Stegostoma tigrinum: one gene and its partner. The protein of the gene in region 1 interacts with the protein of each later gene in a pairwise test. Links are inferred from orthologs where the notes say so. Each region holds a gene or a part of one and is shown in the gene's direction. Other genes may lie near its edges.

Region 1 (10,850 bases):
AAACAGCAACTCATATTCCGCTTGGGAACACTGCAGCCCAATGGTATCAATGTGGATTTCACCAGCTTCAAAATCTCCCCTCCCCCTACCGCATCCCAAAACCAGTCCAGTTTGTCTCCATCTCCCTAATCTGTTCTTCCTCTCATCCATCCCCTCTTCCCACCTCAAGCCACACCCCCATTTCCTACCTACTAACCCGATCCCGCTTCCTTGACCTGTCAGTCCTCCCTGGACTGGCCTATCTCCTCCCTACCTCCCCACCTACACTCACCTTTACTGGCTCCATCCCCACCTCTGACCAATCTGCCTCCTCTCCACCTATCTTCTCCTCTATCCATCTTCTATCCATCTTCCCCTCTCTCCCTATTTATTTCAGAACCCTCTTCCCCTCCCCCATTTCTGATGAAGGCTGTAGGCCCAAAACATCAGCCTTCCTGCTCCTCTGATGCTGCTGGGCCTGCTGTGTTCATTCAGCTCTGCATTTTGTTATCTCAGATTCTCCAGCATCTGCAGTTCCCATTATCCCTCCCCAGCAGCATCAGCCCTGTTTGATATTCCAACAGCAGCTGTTTAAAGCTAAACCTAAAAACTAAAAGAAACTAGAAATCCTGGTCTGTGAGAGATGGCCACACCCACACAGGCTGCTTCTATTGTTCCAACTTTAAAATAAAACCCCAAGGCCTCACAAGCTACTTATATTAACACAGACAACTCATTCAATCTTGTTCAATCTGAGGCCAGACATCAACTCCCTGGCACCTCCTCCCACTGCCCCTTGATCAAGACCCCACCTCTGATCACCACACCATCATTGCCCAGATCAACAACAACTTCATCACTTCAGGAATCTCCCACCCACAGCTTCCAACCTGATAGTTCTCCAACCACGCAATGCCCATTTCAACCACCTTCCCAAAGTCCATAAACCTGACTGCCCCAGTCGGCCAATTGTTTCTGTCTGTTCCTGGCCCATGGAGCCCATCTCCTCCTACCTCGACCTCTGTTCTTTCCCCTCTTGTCCAGGAATTCCCCACCTATGTTCAGGACATAACTCACACCCTCCACCTTTTCCAAAACTTTCAATGCACCAACACCTAACACCTCATCTTCACCATGGACATCCAGTCCCTGCACACTTGTATCCCCCACAATGATGGTATAAAAGCCTTCTGCTTCTTCCTGACCCATATGCCCACCCAGTCCCCCTCCACTGACACTTTCATTCACTACACCGAACTAGCCCTCACCCTTAATTTTTTTTGATTCTTCCCACTTTCTACAAACCAAAGGGGTGGCCTTGGGCACCTGCATGGGCCGAAGCTACGCCTGCGTCTTTGTAGAACAGTCCCTCTTCAACAACTACACCGGCACCATCCCTCACATTTTCCTCCTTTACATTGATGATCGTATCAGCGCTGCCTCACGCTCCTGTGAGGAGCTCGAACAGTTCATCAACTTTGCCAATGCCTTCCACCCCACCTTCAACTTCATCTGGACCATTTCTGTCACCATTCTCGTCTTCCTAGGCCTCTCTGTTTCTATCTCCAGCAACCGACTCACCACTGACATCTATTTCAAACCCACTGACTCCCACAATTACCTTGACTACACCTCCTCTCGCCCACCCTCCTGTAAAAATGCTATCACATATTCTCAATTCCTCTGCCTCCACCTCCACTGCTCCTAGGATGAGGCGTTCTACACTAGGACTTCCCAGATACGCTTTTACTTTAGAGACTATAGCTTCCCCTCCTCTGTTATTAACAATGGCCTCAGCCACATCTCCCCCATTTTCCATGCTTCTGCCCTCAAATGCTGTCCCACCAACAACAATAAAGATAGAATCCCCAATCCTCACGTACCACCCCATTAAACTCCAAATCCAATGCATCATCCTCTGGCATTTCCGCCACCCACAACCAGATCCCACCACCGAAAAACCATTCCCCTCCCCATTCCTGTCCACTTTCCACAGAGTCCATTTCTTCCATGACTCCCTCATCAGCTCTACATTCCCCGCCAACTTCTCCACCACTGCCGTTAAAGTGGATGGTAACCGCAACTGCAGGAGTTGCAACACCTGCCCCATGCCTCCCTTCTCACCTCCATCAAAGGCCCCAAACAATCCTTCAGAATCTGGCAGAGATTCACTTGCACTTCATCTAACCTCATGTATTGTATCCATTACTCCCGATGTGGCCTCCTCTATATTGGGGAAGCCAAATACAGAGTTGGGGAATGGATTGCAAAACATCTGTGCTCTGCACGCAGCAACCAACCCGACCTTCTGGTTACCATCCACTTTAACTCTCTCTCCCACTGTCCTGGTGACATGTCCATCCTTGACCTCCTTCACTGGGGGTACATCACCTCATATTTTGCTGGGAGCTTACAGCCTATTGGCCCTGAATATCAACTTCACCAACTTGAAAATCCCATCTCCTCCAGCCTCGCCAACTTCCAACTCACCTATCCACTCCACCCTTCCCAGTGACCCACCACAATAACCCCCTCCCAGCATCCACTTAGCTCCATCCCACCTACTCTTCCCCCCAGCCCCATGGCCATCCATCTATTTATTTCTGGGCTTGCCTCCCCAGCCCTGATGAAGGGTTTTCAGATCAAAACATTGACCTTCCTGTTCTTCGGATGTTGTCCGACCTGCTGTGCTTCTCCAGCTTCACATTTATTGACTCTTGTTCCAATCTCTCTCTTAAAAGAAACCAGGACAAAAATACACCTCTTAAAGCCACAGCATCGTCACATGCCTAACAAAGATATTTAACTTGTAGAATTCCAAATACCATTTACTTCCTTTTGAGCCTCTAATCAGGAATGCTGTACAGATCCTTACCTCCCAATGGATGCTGCAACTGCCGGCTCACCTTCCAGCTCCCTCCTCCTGCAGCACTTCACTTACCAGGTTTGAATTGCTTTACCATTAAGTACAGTTTCTCCTTCGTTCACTTTATGAGTTTGTCTACAGGCCAATTTTTTATTCATATGTTGTAGGCAGCCACCTGCTGTGTGTATGAGTTGTTCTTAAAACCATCAAGTACTTAACAATTGGAAGTTTCTACTCATGAGTCCATTGGAATGCTCATCACTGTTATCTTCTTCAAAGCAACCTTACTACCTGAAGAACTGATGCTCTCTTGTTGATCACCATGTTGCATGGGCTGTGATGCCAAACACTGCCAACTTGTGGTTGGGGTAGTCTGCTGTCACCATCCCCTTGCAAGGCTCTTGTTTGAGCCTGAAGGTCTACAGTGTGATAGAGGGAAAATCGCGCGTGGGTTTATTGGAGATTTCACCAAGATTTAATTGATTGCATGATGGTAATTGGGTAAGGGGGATGTCAGTAAGATAAACTTTATTAGTATAACTATGTGGATCCCTGGGATATAGCTCTCCATTCTACAAGATACTGAGCTGTTCAGACTTTTCCCTATCATCTGTGTGACATCACAGACTCCACTAACAACAGTGTGGGACTACCTACAGCACATGAAACTGCAAGTGATTCGCCATCACCTCCTCAAGGGCAACAAGGGATGGGCAATAAATGCTAACCAGCTGTAATGCCCACATCTCACGAGTGAATTTTTTTAAAAATTGGATGGAACTTAACGCAGTCTCTAATATTTAACTCTTTACACCCGTTATTTCACTCAACACCACATTCTTCTACAAAGACTGCTGTAGGAGCTGTTTTTTGCACCTGAGAGCCTCATTTTAACATCTCACCTTCAGTAGTGCAGCACAGCCCCAGCATTGCTGAGGGAGTGTAAACCTGGATTTGGAGCTGAAGCAGGAGCTGATCTCACAACCTTCTGACTGAGAAGCCCAGCAATGGCTGACTGGAATGGGTGGATTATTAGTTCCTCCAATTGGCAAAACCAGGGCCGTGTGACTTTGGAGCTCCCTGCCTCGGAACGCAGTGAAGGTGGGATCATTGAATGTTTTTGTTGCAGTGGAGGATGGGTTGCCACTCAGCAAGGGATTATCGGGTAGGGGGTTGGGTGGATCCTGAAATTCAAACTACAAACTGTTCAGGCATGCACTAATTGAATGGTGAAGCAGACCAGAAGAACTGAATGGCCCCTCCAATTCTGAATCTTCGTAACTAGTAGGAGGCAGTGGCCTAGTGGTATTATCACTGGACTGTTAATCCAGAGACCCTGACAAAATTCCGGGGACCTGAGTTCAAATCCCACCACAGCAGATGGTAGAATTTGAATTCAATAAATATCTGTGATTAAGAATCTAATGATGATGATAAACCCATTGTCTATTGTCAGGAAAAGCCCATCTGGTTGACTGATGTCCTTTAGGGAAGAGAAGTGCCATCCTTACCTGGTCTGGCCTACATCTGACTCCAGACCAACAGCAACATGGTTGACTCTGAGATGCCCTCTGGGTAATTAGGGATGGCGCCAATAAGGCAGCCTGGCTAGCAACGCCCTCATCCGTGAATGAATAAAAGGGAAAAAAACTCCAGATCAGCAGATTGCATTCCCCTCCAGCTACACCAGACTGAACTCATCCTGAAAGATGGTAGTTTCCAAATGATTTCAGTGTCACGATACGAGTGGTACAGGAGACAGAGGATGTCTAGCCCCTTGAAGCTTATCCAGCTTGTAGTGTGAGCCATCTGTAGCTCCGCACCACTCAATGCCCCCATCCTCCTCACTCCAAATGCCTTGATATTCAGTCCAAATCTATCAATCAGTTGGAGTCTCTACAGCAGTAGCAGTTGATCCTCAGCACTCACTATTAGGCAAGTGATTTCATGTTTCTGCTATCCTTAAGGGAAATCAATGTTGTTTAACCAAACACTGATGCACATTTCATATTTTACAACATGCATTCCCTGTTCCCACTTTGTCATTGTTTGCAGGTGATTACTAGAGAATGACACAATTCAAAGCATTGAAGCAAATTGACTCTGTTGTTAATTCATTTTTTGTGTACATTCTCTGTGTGTGTGTGTGTGTGTGTGTGTGTGTGTGTGTGTGTGTGTGTGTGTGTGTGTGTGTGTGTGTGTGTGTGTGAGATAATGTATATGAGGCTTCATGTGGAAGCGTGTGTGTGCAAGGATGTGTTTGTAAGGACGTGTGCATGAGGATGCGTGTATAAGGGTCTGTGTGAGTGGGTTTTTATATACAGATGTGTAAGGCTGTGTTTGAGGGTGTGTGTATGTGAGGCTGAGTGTGTGTGTGTGTGTGTGTGTGTGTGTGTGTGTGTGAGAGAGAGAGAGGGGAGATGTGAAGCTGTGTGTGTATGTGAGGGGTGGTGCAAGGGTGTGTGTGTGTGTGTGTTGTGTGTGTGCGCGCACGCGCGCACATGCACATGAATATTGAGTGTGTTTTGGTGAGTGTACATGAATATGAGTGGATACAATGACTTGTGTGGGTTTTGGTGTTTGTGTAAGTGAGTGGGAGTATGCCTATGTTGTTGTGATATGTCTGCAGTTTTGAGAGTGAGAGCATATAGCAATATTGGAGAAACAACTCCACAGAGTGAGTACATGCATACATACACTCATCCTGGTCACCAAGTCACCCTTTATTTACACATGAGAAGCCATTGACACTGACCCAGCTCTCTCAGAGCAAGGAGGCCCTCTGACACTCCTGTTTATATCTATCAGTGAGGGCTCCCTGATTGGACCAAGTTAACAGTCCCAATCAGAGAACTCATATTCTGTGAGGTCCAACTGGCTGACCTCATTACAATCATTACAACAGGAGCACACAGGAGCATAGTAGATCATTCAGCCGACTGAGATTGCTCTGCCATTCTAGATCATGGCTGAATATCTCCTTGAAGGCCATTTTCTTGCACTGTCATCACCTTCCCTGATAACTGAGCTTCATGTGAATATGAGCATTTGTGCATGCATGGATGTGTGTGCCTAAGTGTTTGAATAATGTACATATGTGTCAATATGGGTGTATTTGTGTGCGTGTGCATACGTGTCAATATGCATATGTGTTAATATGTGTGAGTTTGTGTGCACACGCATATATGTTTCAATACACATATGTGTCAGTATCTTTGTGTATATGTGTGTGGGCATATGTGTGTGTGTGCATGTGTGCGTGTGTGCCTGTGCGTGTATATGTGAGTATGTGTGTGTGCACGCGTGTGTGTTTATATGTGTATGTGTGTATGCCTGTGTGAGTATGCAAGTCTGCTTAGCCCTGCCAACACTGTCATTAGTGCCTGCAACATGACTCTTCATGTCACTTAAACACTAGTGAGCATTCCAAAACAAAAATAGAGAGCCGCGCATTGGTGGGGAGACAGAGCTGTGATTTAGTTGAGTCATTCCAGGGATCCAAGGACTAGGACTGGTATAATCTCACAGGCCCTTCCCCCTCACTCACTGTTGGCCTGGTGTATTTTTAGCTAATATTACTCCAGCCACGCAGCTTCCTCAGCTGTTCTGTCACTCCAGAAAGTGAGTCTGCCTTCACCAAGTTACACAGCCCAGACTAAGGTGAGTTTACATCTAACTTCTCAATCTGTTGCATGCACAGAAAACAAAGGCAGTGTTGTAATAATATCAGTATTAAAAGACAAAACTAACTTAATCTCTGAATTTGAGAAGGTATAATTGCAGAAATTGAGAGCACGAGGGAAGTTACGGGTGCTGACCCTGTTTTGTCCAGATGTTTTGTTCAGTGGGTACCATGCTAACAAATTTAAACCTCAATTACGCTCCTTCATTTTACAGGCACTATGAAGTAACGATAAAATCAATCAAACAGTCAATAATAAAGATTTTAAATCAGTAGAACTGTGTCACATAGTGTAATTGAGAACATTTAGGTCTCAGGCGACTGGGGGCTAGCCAACGTTATTCCTTTGTTTAAAAAAGGCAATAGAAGTAATCCAGGAAATTATGTCAGTCATAGGGAAATGGTTGGAAAAGATTCTTCGGGACAGACTTTATTCACACCTGGGAAAGTATGGACTTATTAGCTATGGGCTGCATGGCTTTGCGCAGGAAAGGTTGTGTCTCACAAACTTGATTGCATTTTTGAGGAAGTGACAAAATGATTGACGAGGGCAGGGTGGCGGATGTTGTCTACATGGAGTTTAGCAATGCCTTTGACAAGGTCTCTCGTGGCAGGCTGATACAAAGACATGGGATCTGCAATGAGTTGGTCAGATGGACACAGAGCTGGCTTGGTCATAGAAGACAGAGAGTAACTGTGAAGAGTGTTTTTACTGACTAGAGATCTTCGGCCTGTGGGGGTTCCGCAGCTATCAGTACTGGGACCTCGGTTGTGTGTAATATATATAAATGATTTGGAGGAAAATGTGGGCAGTTTCATCAGTAAATTTGTGGATGACACAAAGACGGGGGGAGCTAGAGACAGTGATGAGGATTGCCATAGGATACAGCAGGGTATAGATAGGCTGGAGACTTGAGAGGGGAAATGACTGATGGAGATTAATCCAAACAAACGTGGGATGATGCAATTTGGGAGATCTGATGTAGGAGATAGGTAAAAGGTAAATGGAAGAATCCTTAATAGCATCAACATACAGAGGGATCTAGGCCCACAGTTCCCTGAAAGTGGCATCACTATTGGATAAGGTCATCAAGAAGATATATGGCACACATCATTGCAGCAGAGAGTACAAGATTTGACAAGTCCTGTTGCAGCTGTAGAGAACTTTAATTAGGCAACATTTAGATTATTGCATACAGCTCTGGTTTCCGCACTACCCAAAGGACATGGAGACTTTGGAGAGAGTACATAATAGGTTTGGTAGGATGTTGCCTGGTTTAGAAGGTATTATGAGGAGAGATTGGACAAACGCGGCTTGTTTTCACTTGAACTTCAGAGGCTGAGGTGTGACCTGGTCGAAGTTTACAATATTACAAGAAGCATGGACAGAATGAATAGTTTTTCCCAGGGTAGAAATGCCAATTATTAGGGAATAAGCCAAAAGGAACGAATACAGAAGTTGCTGGAAATACTCAGCAGGTCTGGCAGCATCTGCGAAGGAAAAAACAGAATTAACATTTCAGTTCCACTGGCCCTTCCCTCAGTTCACAGATGCTGCCAGACCTGCTGAGCTTTTCCAGCAACTTCTGTTTTTGTTCCTGATTTACAGCTTCCGCAGTTCTTTCGGTTTTTATTAAGCCAAAAGGGTTAAGTTTAATGGAGATGTGAGAGGGAGGTTTTTTTACACAGAGAGTGGTCAGTGCCAGGAATGAGCTGCCAGAGGAGGTGGTGGAGGTGGACGCAATAGCAACATTTAAGGGGCATCTTGACAGAAACAGGTGATTCTCCAAAACCCAACAGTTGCATTCTTTTGTGACCTTGCGCCATAGAAAATCATGTTATAGGGAAATCGCTGTAGAAAATCATTATACTTGTACAGCAGAAAGTTCACATTATCCAAACTGCATCCACTATTCATCAATCGCGTTACAGTCAATTTGCATTAACAAAACGCGTTTTATGGCAGAACTAGCCCACAGATAGTAGGAACTGCCGATGCTGGTGTCAGAGACAACACAGCGTGGAGCTGTAGGAACACAGCAGGTCAGGCAACATCAGGGGAGCAGGAAAGTTGACATTTCCGGCCAAGACACAACTGAAGGAGGCTGGTACAGTTAAAACAATCCCCTGATATCTCTGTAATCATTTGAATTTTGGACAACTGCTATTGCCTTTACTCCACATTTTGCTACCACACCTGTAGTCATCGAGGCCCTAAAGCCTGGAAGCCCCTCACACATCTTTCCATCTGCCCATATTTCATTCCGACATTGGTTAGGCCACGTTTTGGAATACTGCATTCATTTCTGGTCTCCCTGCTATAGGTTGTTAACTTTGAAAGGGTTCAGTAAAGATTTACAAGGATGTTGCCAGGGTTAGAGGCTTTGAGCTATAGGGAGAGACCGAAAGGCTGGGGCTATTTTCCCTGGAATGTTGGAGGCTGAGAGTTGATCTTATCGAGGGGCATGGATAGGCTGAAGAGCGAAGGTCTTTCCCCGGGGTAGGGGAGTCCAAAACTAGAGGGCATAAATTTAAGGTGAGAGGAGTAAGATTTAACAGGGACCTAAGGAGCAACTTTTTCATGCTGTGGGCAGTGCGTGTATGGAATGAGCTGCCAGAGGAGGTGGTGGAGGTTGGTACAATTACAACATTTAAAAGTCATTGGGACATGTGCATGAATAAGAAGGGTTTAGAGAGATATGGCAAAAACTGGCAAATGGGAATAAATCCATTTAGGATATCCGGTCAGCATGGATGAGTTAAGCCAAAGGCTCTGTTTCCATGCTGCACATCGCTACAACTCTGTGATTCTGTGAGCCCATTAACATGTTTCTACCACTTTGATAGAGATGCACTGACTCAGAGATGAGGGTGCTACCAAACGAACAACGGCTGATGTATAAATCGGCCAAACTAGGAAGTGCTCAGATCTTGGTGGGTTGAAGGGAGGAGGAAAGGGGGAATTACAGAAGTCGTGGGAGCAAGGCAGAGGGTCCTTATTAAAAGCATTAGGTCACGCTGACCCTAGCAAAACAACGAAAGCCAGAGAATTCCTATAATTTAAAAAGGCCTGAGATCCAAATCCAAATGCAGTTTGCGGCCTGCAGTCCCAGGTGTTCATGTCTAATGTGCCATTCTCTTTGGTGTCAACATAATTTCACTTTGAAAATGTTGCTGCGTACATTTTACACCAATATTGGTAAAACTGAGTTGCCTGCATCAGGTGAAACCACCCTAGAAACTACCTCTAAGCAGAGGGGAAAAGATTAAGTCATTTTCCAAACAAATAATGTTGGTGGAATTTGTGGGACAATTTTATTCTGTTTCTCTTATCCCCTGCTCTGTAGTCCCGGAGACAGAAACTTTTCTGGCTCAATTGTCTGCCTTTAAAAGATAGAAAGGAAGGTATTTTTATAATGCTCCAAGTCGGCCAGGTCCTTCAGAAACATTCCAGAGCACTTTGTGTGGATGGAGAATCACACACCCATAAAGCACGTAGAAAGGCCATTCGGCCCATTGTGGAACTGCTGGCCATTTCAAAAAGTTATCCAATTAGCACCAGCTCGCAACTCCGCTCTTCACGCACAGAAGCCAAGTACAGTCAGTTCTGCGATAACATGCGTTTCTTCAACCCAAATTGACTTTAATGCGATTGAAGAATTTAGGCCACTATTTGTAGAACATGAACTTTCCTTACCAGTAGCAGCTGTAAGGTGATTCTGGTCCCATTAGTTTAAATGGTGTGGCTTATAACATGAGATTACATGAGAACAGAACAATCACTTTATATCCGAGCCTTCTGTATTTAACCAATACTTTTTTGAAAGTTATGATTGAAGCTGGTTCTATTAACCTTTCGGACAGCCTGCTCTTGATCACAGGCACTCATCTCCAATAAGGTTCATTCTGGCTCTTTCACCAATTGCCTCAAGCTTGCCCAAATCAAATCTCCTGCTAATCTTCCCTGCTCAAAGGAGAACAATCCCAGCTGATCGAGTCTCCAAACATATCTGAAGACCCTCATCCCTGTACTGGTCTTGCAAAGTTCCCTTGCACGTTCTCCTCTCTGAAACCCTCACATCCTGACCCAGAGCGACCACAATGCATCACAGTTCAATCCCTCATTTGAGCCACTTATGCACACAGCGGCTGCTTTGTCCTGGATGGTGTCGAGCTTCTTGAGTGTTGTTGGAGCTGCACTCATTCAGGCCAGTGGGGAGTATTCCATCACAGTCCTGATGTGTGCCTTGTAGATGGTAGACAGGGGAGTCAGGAGGTGATTTACTCGCTGCAGTATTCCTCGTCTTCCCCACTCCCCAGCCA
Region 2 (11,133 bases), on another chromosome or scaffold:
CCACACTTCAAAATTTGGTATCATTTACAAGTTTGTAACTTTGCTTGGTATTCCAATATCTTAATCACATACATAAGAGCAGTGGTTCCTATGTGTGACCCCTGAGGAACGGCACTGTTTACCATCTCCCATTTAAGCAACAAACATTTGCCACAACTCTGCCTTTAAAACAATTATTAAATCCAATCTGACACTGCCTTTTCTTTCTATGAGCCTTTAATCTAATGAAATAGCACACATAATCTGAGAAAACAACCTGTTTTATTCACTAATGAAAAGAAGGTATCATTATTTATTGTAATATTTATCACTCATCTCTAATTGTTCTCAAACTGAGTGGCTTGCCAGGCCATTTCAGAGTGCAGTTAAGAGTCAACTACATTGTTGTGGTTCTGGAATCACAAGTTGGTCACTCTACACAAAGGTTAGCCAAATTCCTTCCCATTAGTAAGGCAACCAGGCATTTAAAATGGTTTAATTCTCAGATTTTTACTGAATTCAAATATCACTATTTCCCATAGTGTAAATTGAATCTATTTCTCCAAAGCACTATTCAGGGATTCTGGATTATGAGACCTGCGATATTAGTTCTAATCCCGAGTACTTTCAGACCTGGGTCATTAAATGGTCAGGAAAGTGTAACCTGAAGCATCTAGACTTCTAAGATGCATTTCCAGAAGGCACAGACCCCAGCACAAAGTCAAATCCTAACATCAGAATGTAAATTAAAGATCAACAGGAAAAACACAAAAGCTTTATGCACTGATCTAATTATACTGACTTGGCCACATTTGGAGCCTTCTGTGGTCTAATTAGCACTCTACAGGAAGGCACAGAGACTCCGAGATGGATTCAGAGCCAGTAGTGAGGCTGAACATTGTAAATTGCATACTTCTTCCCCTAACAAGTCAAGCAGATGAATTACAGGGAAAAAAAAATACATTAGATTGAGCCTAGGAAGAAGGCAGGACCTTTTCAATGTATAAATTATTAAATTCTGTAGATGAAGTCAACCTAGAATATTGCAAGTAATTTCAGGAAGTTAGATCAGATCACACGCATTTGTAGCGGTGCAAAGTTGTATTGACGCAGATTTTAAGCGGATTTTTGCATTGAAAGGCGAACGTCAAGCATATGCAATATTCTACTAGCCACATATTATGTAAGAACTGCAAGTGCTGTAAATCAGAAACAAAAACAGAAGTTGCTGGAAAGGCTCAGCAGGTCTGGCAGCATCTGTGAGGAGAAATCAAAGTTAACATTTTCGGTCTAGTGACTCTTCCTCAAAACCCAGATAATATGTTAGTAATCATTGCAAATGATGTTGAAGGGTGAAATTGGAGAAGATCCAAAAGGCCATTATGTCAAATGACATATCTTGTTTATTACTCTTATCCTTCCATGATAAATATTTCGAGTAAGGTCAAGGTACGTTCAAAAAGTAACTAGGTGATTTCCCTGTGATAGTGTGAACTGCAGATGCTGGAGAATCCAAGACGATAAAATGTGAGGCTGGATGAGCACAGCAGGCCCAGCAGCATCTCAGGAGCACAAAAGCTGACGTTTCGGGCCTAGACCCTTCATCAGAGAGGGGGATGGGGAGAGGGAACTGGAATAAATAGGGAGAGAGGGGGAGGCGGACCAAAGATGGAGAGAAAAGAAGATAGGTGGAGAGGAGAGTATAGTTGGGGAGGTGGGGAGGGGATAGGTCAGTCCAGGGAAGACGGACAGGTCAAGGAGGTGGGATGAGGTTAGTAAGTAGGAGATGGAGGTGCGGCTTGGGGGTGGGAGGAAGGGATGGGTGAGAGGAAGAACAGGTTAGGGAAGCAGAGACAGGTTGGACTGGTTTTGGGATGCAGTGGGTGGAGGGGAAGAGCTGGGCTGGTTGTGTGGTGCAGTGGGGGGAGGGGACGAACTGGGCTGGTTTTGGGATGTGGTGGGGGAAGGGGAGATTTTGAAGCTGGTGAAGTCCACATTGATACCATTGGGCTGCAGGGTTCCTAAGCGGAATATGAGTTGCTGTTCCTGCAACCTTCAGGTGGCATCATTGTGGCACTGCAGGAGGCCCATGACGGACATGTCATCTAAAGAATGGGAGGGGGAGTGGAAATGGTTTGCGACTGGGAGGTGCAGTTGTTTATTGCGAACTGAGCGGAGGTGTTCTGCAAAGCGGTCCCCAAGCCTCCGCTTGGTTTCCCCAATGTAGAGGAAGCCACGCCAGGTACAATGGATGCAGTATACCACATTGGCAGATGTGCAGGTGAACCTCTACTTAATATGGAAAGTCATCTTGGGGCCTGGGATAGGGGTGAGGGAGGTGGTCTGGGGGCAGGTGTAGCATTTCCTGCGGTTGCAGGGGAAGGTGCCGGGTGTGGTGGGGTTGGTGGGCAGTGTGGAGCGAACAAGGGAGTCACGGAGAGAGTGGTCTCTCCGGAAAGCAGACAGGGGTGGGGATGGAAAAATGTCTTGGGTGGTGGGGTCGGATTGTAGATGGCGGAAGTGTCGCAGGATGATGCGTTGTATACGGAGGTTGGTGGGGTGGTGTTTGAGAACGAGGGGGATCCTCTTTGGGCGGTTGAGGTGGGGGCGGGGTCTGAGGGATGTGTTGCGGGAAATACGGGAGACGCGGTCTGTCACTGGGAAAGCACAATAGTTTTTGCATTCATCTCCAATTACTTTCAGTCTCTTCCTGCTCTGGTATTTATATATTTAGATGTGAATTTCCACTTCGGTATTTGGGAGTAACATAGCATTGGGTGTTGGCTACTTGGTAGTGAATTGAATGATAATAAAAATTGAGTGGTTCCTGTAACAGGTGGGTAATTTGCAACATCCCATCTTACAAAGGGGCATTTGTGGTATAGTAGTAATTTCTATACATCTGCATCAGAAACCCTAGGTTCAACCAAGGCGAGATGATGGTTTGCTGGTATTATTGCTGGACTGTTAATCCAAGAGATCCAGGTAATGTGCTGGGATCCCAGATTAATGGCAGATGGTGGAATTAGAGTCCAATTTTTAAAAAATCTGGAATATGATGTTAGGGTTCGGATCGTCTAATGATGACTATGATTTCATTGCCAATTGTTGGGAAAACCCGTTTGGTTCACTCATGTTCTTTAGAGAGGGAAACTGTCATCCTTATCTGGTCAGGCCTACCTGTGACTCCAGACCCACGGCAATGTGGTTAGCTCTTAACTGCTCTCTGGGATGGGCAGTAAATCCTGGTCGAGCCAGTGCTACCTTCATCCCATGACTGAATAAAAAGTGTTCCACCTGCTCTAGTGGTGTGTAATAACATTTCTGTAACAGATTGATTCGAAAATGTCTTCATTTGTAAAAGAAAAGGCAATTTAGTTACATGATTTCTTGTCACATAAGAATTAGATCAACTGTTTTATTCCTGAATTGGAAAGTGAAAATCTACCTTGCAGTAAGAACACCCCTGATCATCCACCATTTATCACCTCTAAGCCCTTTCTTTCTAAGATAACAAGTGATGTGCTGGATGAACATAGCAGGCCAGGCAGTATCTGAGGAGCAGGAAGGCTAACGTTTTGGGCCCAGACCCAAAGCGTCAGCCTTCCTGCTCCTCTGATGCTGCTTGGCCTGCTGTGTCCATCCAGCTCTAGACCTTGTTATCTCAGATTCTCCAGCCTCTGAAGTTCCGACTATCTCTGAAACAATTTTTACCCTTTCTTTCTCTTTCTTTTCGGTAATGGACTGAAAATAACATTATGTGGAGGTGCTAGTATTGGGCTGGGGTGGGCAAAGTCAGAAGTCACACTACACCAGGTGCACCTGATAAAGGGGCTGCCCTTCAAAATCTTGTGTGGTTCCAAATAAGCCTGTTGGATCATAACCTGGTGTCGGACGATTTATCATTAGGTACAGCTGGGAGGAATAGAGGAAAATTCAGAAATAAAAGCAGGAACTGCTGGAGAATCTCAGCAAGTCTGACAGCAACCGTGGAGAGAGAAACAGAATTAACGCTTTGAATGCAGTATGACTCTCGTTAAGGATGTCCCAGTTTCAAAACATCCATTCACTTGTTGTTAAACAAAACTAATTCCTTCGCCTCCGCTGCATCTGCTCCCAGGATGAGGCATTCCACTCCTGTACATCCCAGATGTCCTCGTTTTTCAAGGACCACAACATCCCCTCCGCAGTGGTTGAGAACGCACTCGACCATGTCTCCCGCGTTTCCCGCACTTCATCCCTCACACCCCACCCCCGCAATAACCGCCAAAAGAGAATCCCCTAGTCCTCACATACCACTCCACCAACCTCGGGATACAACGCATCATCCTCCGACACTTCCGCCATCTACAATCCGACCCCACCACTAAAGACATTTTTCCAACCCCACCCTTGTCTGCCTCCCAGAGAGACCACTCTCTCCGTGACTCCCTTGTCCGCTCCACACTCCCCTCCAACCCCACCACACCTGGCACCTTCCCCTCCAACCACAGGAAGTGTGACACTTGCCCCCACACCTCCTCCCTCACCCCCATCTCAGGCCCCAAGATGACTTTCCACATCAAGCAGATGTTCACCTGCACATCCGGCAATGTGTTATACTGCATCCACTGTACCCGGTGTGGCTTCCTCTACATCGGGGAAACCAAGCGGAGGCTTGGGGGCCGCTTTGCAGAACACCTCCGCTCAGTTCGCAATAAACAACTGCACCTCCCAGTCGCGAACCATTTCCATTCCCTCTCCCATTCTTTAGATGACATGTCCGTCATGGGCCTCCTGCAGTGCCACAATGATGCCACCCAAAGGTTGCAGGAACAGCAACTCATATTCCGCTTGGGAACCCTGCAGCCCAATGGTATCAATGTGGATTTCACATGCTTCAAAATCTCCCCTCCCCCCACTGCATCCCAAAACCAGTCCAACCTGTCTCTGCTTCCCTAACCTGTTCTTCCTCTCACCCATCCCTTCCTCCCACCCCAAGCTGCACCTCCATCTCCTACGTACTAACCTCATCCCACCTCCCTGACCTGTCCGTCTTCCCTGGACTGACCTATCCCCTCCCCACCTATACTCTCCTCTCCACCTATCTTCTCCTCTATCCATCTTCGGTCGGCCTCCCCCTCTCTTCCTATTTTTTTCAGAATCCTCTCCCCATCCCCCTCTCTGATGAAGGGTGTAGGGCCGAATCGTCAGCTTTTGTGCTCCTAAGATGCTGCTTGGCCTGCTGTGTTCATCCAGCTCCATACTTTGCTATCTCGGATTCTCTAGCATCTGCAGTCCCCATTCTCTCTGATATCAATCTTTCAAATGGTGTCAAATTGATGCAACTAATAGTTAGAAACGAAAATGCCTCACACAGATAACAAGTGTCTTAATATGACGCCTCAGAATAGTGGAAGCGTATTATTCTAAAAAAAACACATTAAAAATTTGATCAGTGTGAAATTGCACTGCATATATTTTCAAATCAATCTGTTTAAAGACACCCCTCTGTAACTGCACTGAATAACCGGTACAAATGAAAGCCTCCTTATCTAGACAAATGATCGCTTGGTGGCACACGGAACTTTTCGCCTATTTTTTCAGCATTAGAGTCTTACCCTGTTTATTTTGAAAGTAGATCAGGAATTTCCTCCGATCTTCGTGCGCTTTGATCTCACATTCCCCTCCACCGGATCTCTTTTTGCTTTGGAAATAAATGGCGAGTTTACTTTTGACAGAGTCCAGCTCGACAGGCAGACCCTCCACTAACACCGGGAACCCTGCCATCCTTTCTCCTTTCTGGCTTGGCTGGGCTGAGATCACAGCCTCAACCTTGCGTCCTGTCAACACTGTCTGCTGGGGAAAGACGGGGGGAGGATGCAAACTGTGAGACCACCTCTTAGGGCGAACGCTGTTTACAGCTTACTTCTCCTCTGATCATTGCTCGGAAACATACGTCCGTGATGAGAATCGAAAGTGAAAGATTATAGGACTAAACGTGTGAGTGACTTTATATGGCGAGAGCCAATGTGTATTTAAAAATAACCAATGCCACCCAGGAAATTGTTGAATCGGCTCAGGTTCCAGCTTTCCGGTTGGTTCCCATCTGGTTGTCAAAGAGATGGTCATGACTGCTAGTTGTCCACTTTACTCACAGAGCCCAAACTCAACAACAACTTGCATTTACATGGGGCACTTTGATGCAGTGAAATGTCCCAGTGCGCCTCACAAGGAAGTCAGAAAATGAAATTGGTGACCGATGGAGACAATATGAAGAGAGGTGACTAAAAATATAGGTTTAGGGAGTTTGAAAGAAAAGACAAATTTGAACATGGGATGTAGGCGTCACTGAATGGGCTAGCTTGTATTCCCTCATTGCTTCTTGACCTGAGTAACTTGCTGGGGCCACTTCAGAGGGCAATTAACAGTCAACCACATGGTTGTATGCCTGTAGTCACATGTTGGCCAGACCAGTCAAGATAGTCATAGACATATAGAACTGTACAGCGTGGATACAGGCCTTCCAGTCCAACTGGTCCATGCCTACCAGATATCCGAAGTTAATCTAGTTCTATTTGTTAGCATTTAGCCCATATCCCTCTAAAACCTTCCTATTCATATCATTCCTTCCCCAAAGGATATTAGCCAAGTATGTAGGATTTTCCTGACAACTAACAGTAGTTACATGATCACTGTTATTTTTCGTTCCACATTTTTATTTAATTCAAATGTTAACAGCTGGCTTGGTGAGATTCAAACTCCTGCGCCCACATGAGTCAGGGATTCTGGATTACTAACACTACCACTACACCACTTCCTCTCCTAAGGTCAATTTAGACAGAGTATCCTGTTACTGTTAGAGGAGCTATTTCAATCTGTAATTCTTCTGAAAATGAGAATTCAAGGGAGACAAAGGTTTCACAGAATTGTAAGACCAGGGGCGCCCATGGAGGTGTTTGCAAGTAGGCATAATAATTTAAACATCACCGGCAAGGACCCTATGTGAGTTAACCCGTGCTAAGGACTTTGTGGGGGTAAAAGACTGAATGTCCTGCCACCTTCTGTGCTCTTGCTTTGAATCCCAGAACTCATATAGTATAGAAGCGGACCACTTGCCCCACTGACCCTCTGAGGAGCATCCCACCCCCTACCCCATCCCTGCATTTTCCACCCTAGACACTATGGGCAATTTAGCATGGCCAATCCACCTATCCTGCACATCTTTAGACTGTGGAAGGAAATCCACACATATATCGGGAGCACATGCAAACTCCACCCAGACTGTTGCCCAAGGCTGAAATTGAACCCAGGTTGACTGGTGGTATGAGGTAGCAGTGCTAACCACTGTGCCACCAGGTGACTGCTGGATTAAGAGGTTAAAATGGAAGAACTTCATCCCTTCAGGATTAAGGAGGCAGAGAAAGAGGTAGCTTTAGGAGCATTCCAAGGCGACTGTGTTGAGGCTAAGCTTGCTTAACCTTAGGCTAGTCACATGTAAACAAGATACCATCACGGGTAATGTGTGGTTCTACCAAAAAGAAGATTAACACAAAAGCCTGCAACATTTCACAGAATGTTTTCAGCTCCTGGGAGGCCAATGACCTATCATACCTGCGTTGGCGCTCTGAATGAGTGATGTCCACTCCCCCGCTTTAAAACAATTCCTCCAAACCTATGAAATCAGAAGCTTCTTCGAATCTCTCAGTGGTGAAAAGTTGTCATGCACCAATATAATTAATGTCAAGTGGCAGATTTGTTCTCTTAGTTAGTCAAACATTCTTCAGAGTTCTGTGAAGTCTGCTTCTTGAGTAATGCTACACTGATCACTGGTATTTGGCTTTGGAGTTTGAAGTTCTTTGATGTACTGTAGATGTTTGAGGATGAAGCATCACTTCTGCGTGGATTTGAGAAATGTTTGTTTCTAATAATGCACACTGGTCCACAAAGTATTGGTCTCTCTTCTCCAAATATACTCACCACATTCCCTTAGTTTTGAGTGGTGGTCTGCCTGCATCATGTAATGCTCCATTAGAACGTTGTAGCTTCATTCTCCTCAGCTAATGGATTTTCTGAACTAATAAGGTTAGATTTGGAGTTCGAATTAGAATTAGATGTTATTGTCACATGTATTCAATTATTGGAATGCAGGAGTACAGTGAAAAGTGCACAATGTCACCATTCCAGGTGACATCTTAGTACCCAGGTACAAAATCTTAGACAAAGTAGAAAAATAAGGAGATAAAGCTAAAAGTTCAACATTGTCGTCCTTCTTAGTGTAAAGTAGAAAAATAAAGTTAAATGTTCAACATTGAAGTCCTTCTTAAGTGCTTAGCCATGCTGGGCTCGCATTCCCCACAAGGGTTTGATCTCCTCCACATTGGGCTCAATCTCCCCAGGCTCATCACTGTCACAGCAACAGGGAGACCTCGATTGCTGCTGCACTGGGCTCGATTTCCCCCCGTGCTGGGCTCATTCTCTTCTATGTTAAGCTTGCTCTCCTCCAATTTGCTCTCACTCTGTTGTTCTCCCCCACATTCTCTCATTGTACCCCACACTGGATTGCCTTCCTCCACAGAAGATATGTAGAAGGTAAGTAAGTAAGAAGGTGATTTGCCCCTGTGTCAATAAGACCATAAGTCATTGGATAATAAACTACCTCCGACAACATGGGACAAAAACAAAGTTGCTGGCAAAGCTCAACAAGTCTGGCAGCATCTGTGGAGGAGAAAACAGAGTTAATGTTTCGGGTCCGGTGACACTTCCTCAGAACTGTTCTGAGGAAGGGTCACAGGACCCGATACATTAATTCTGTTTTCTTCTCCACAGATGCTGTCAGACTTGCTGAGCATTTCCAGCAACTTTGTTTTTGTTCTTGATTTACAGCATCCGCAGTTCTTTTGGTTTTTATTTAGTATCCGACACCATGGGCTTGTATTTAATAAGCAGTCTGATGTGTGGTACCTTAACTGACACCTTTGAAAACACAAGTATATTACATTTATTGCATCCCTTTTATTTATCTTGCTTGTTACTTCTTTAAAGAATTATAGTAAATTTCTCAGGCATTATTTCCCCTTCATGAAGCCATGCTGGCTCTGCCTGATCATATTATATATTACTAAATGTTCTACTATTACCTCTAATAGACTCGAACATTTTCCCACAACAGACGTTAAACTAACCTGTTTTTTCATCTGCTTTCATTTGTAAGTAAAGGTGTTTCACTGGCAGTTTTCTAATCCTCTGGGGCTTTTCCAGAGACTACGATTCTGGGAAAAATACTAAGAGTACATGCACAATTCCATCGGGTCCAGGGGATTCAACAAACTTTAGTCTTAGACCCTTCTTCAGAAATGGGGGAGAGGAAGGGGGTTCTGAAATAAATAGGGAGAGGGGGAAGGCGGATAGAAGACAGGTCAAAGAGATTGGGATGGAGCCTGTATAGGTGAGGGTAGCTGGGGAGGTAGGGAGGAGATAGATAAGTCAAGGCAGGATGGACAGGTCAGGGAGGTGGGATGAGGTTAGTAGGTAGCAGATGGGGGTGGAGCTTGAGGTGGGAGGAGGTGATACATGGGAGGAAGGACAGGTTAGAGAGGTGGGGACGAGCTGGGCTGGTTTTGGGATGCAGTGGGGGAAGGGGTGATTTTGAAGCTGGTGAAGTCCACATTGATATCATTGGGCTGCAGAGTTCCCAAGCGGAATATGAGTTGCTGTTCCTGCAACCTTCAGGTAGCATCGTTGTGGCACTGCAAGAGGCCCAGGATGGGTATGTCATCTGACGAATGGGAGGGGGAGTTGATATGGTTCGCGACTGGGAGGTGCAGTTGTTTAACGCGAACCAAGCGTAGGTGTTCTGCAAAGCGGTCCCCAAGACTCCGCTTGGTTTCCCCGATGGAGAGGAAGCCACAACAGGAACAGCGGATGCAGTATACCACATTGGCAGACGTGCAGGTGAACATCTGCTTGATGTGGAAAGTTGTCTTGGGGCCTGGGACAGAGTTGAGGGGGAGGTGTAGGGGCAGGTGTAGCATTTCCTGGGGTTGCAGGGAAAAGTGCCGGGTGTAGTGGGGCTTGAGGGGAATGTGGAGTGGCCAAGGGAGTCCCAGAGAGAGTGGTCCCTCCGGAAGGCAGACAAGGGTGGAGACAGAAAAATGTCTTTGGTGGTGGGGTCGGATTGCAGATGGCAGAAGTGTCAGAGGATGATTCGTTGGATCCAGAGGTTGGTGGGGTGATATGTGAGGACTAGGGGGATTCTGTTTTGATTGTTATTGCGGGCAGGGGTTGTGAGGGATGAGTTGCGGAAAATGCGGGAGACACAGTTGAGGGCATTCTCGACCACTGAGGGGGGTATGTTGTGGTTCTTGTAAAACAAGGACATCTGAGGTGTAGGGGAGTGGAATACCTCATCCTGGGAGCAGATGCGGCGGAGGCGAAGGAATTGGGAATTGGGAATAGGGGATGGCATTTTTGCAGGAAGGTGGTTGGGTATTCTAGGCAGCTGTGGGAGTCGGTGGGATTCAAGGTGGTTGCCAGAAATGGAGATGGAAAGGTCCAGGAAGGAGAAAGAGGTATTGGAGATGGTCCAGGTGAACTTAAGGTTGGGGTGGAAGGTGTTGATGAAGTGGATGAAATGTTCAAGCCCCTCGTGCGAGTTGCACTGATTCAGTCATCAATGTAATGGAGGAGGAGGTGGGGTTTAGGGCCAGAGTAGGTATGGAAGAGGGATTGTTCCACGTAACGTACAAAGAGGCAGGCATAGCTTGGGCCCATGTGGGTACCCATGGCCACCCACTTTGTCTGTCGGAAGTGGGAGGAATTGAAAGAGAAGTTGTTGAGTGTGAGGACAGGTTTGACTAAGCGGATGAGGGTGTCGGTGGAGGGGGACTGGTCGAGTCTGCGGGACTGGAAGAAGTGGAGGGCCTTTAGGCCATCTGCATGAGGAATGCAGGTGTATAGGGACTGGACGTCCATGGTAAAGATGACGTGTTGGGGACCAGGGAATTGGAAGTTCTGGAGGACGTGGAGGGCATGGGTGGTGTCATGGATGTAGGTAGTGAATTCCGCCCTCTTCTATCTCCTTCCTAAAATCCACAAATCTGACTGCCCTGGTTGACCCATTGTCCCTGCCTGTTCCTGCCTCACTGAACTCATCTCCACCTATCTGGACTCCAT

Evidence for each region.
Region 2: the proteins of txlnba (region 1) and nmi interact in binary tests that used the Homo sapiens proteins (3 or more experiments, as listed by UniProt). The two-hybrid records come from large-scale screens. The link is inferred for Stegostoma tigrinum from reciprocal best matches to the Homo sapiens genes TXLNB and NMI.

Annotation. Positions count from the first base shown.
Region 1 is NC_081362.1:90,530,323-90,541,172, reverse strand, and holds the start of txlnba (beta-taxilin), read left to right. Parts: upstream 1-6,404; 5' UTR 6,405-6,505; intron 6,506-10,850. UniProt on the Homo sapiens protein: Promotes motor nerve regeneration. May be involved in intracellular vesicle traffic.
Region 2 is NC_081360.1:86,436,650-86,447,782, reverse strand, and holds the start of nmi (N-myc-interactor), read left to right. Parts: upstream 1-5,876; 5' UTR 5,877-5,961; intron 5,962-11,133. Other genes in the region: parp14rs3 (protein mono-ADP-ribosyltransferase PARP14), read right to left, coding at 5,580-5,748. UniProt on the Homo sapiens protein: Acts as a signaling pathway regulator involved in innate immune system response.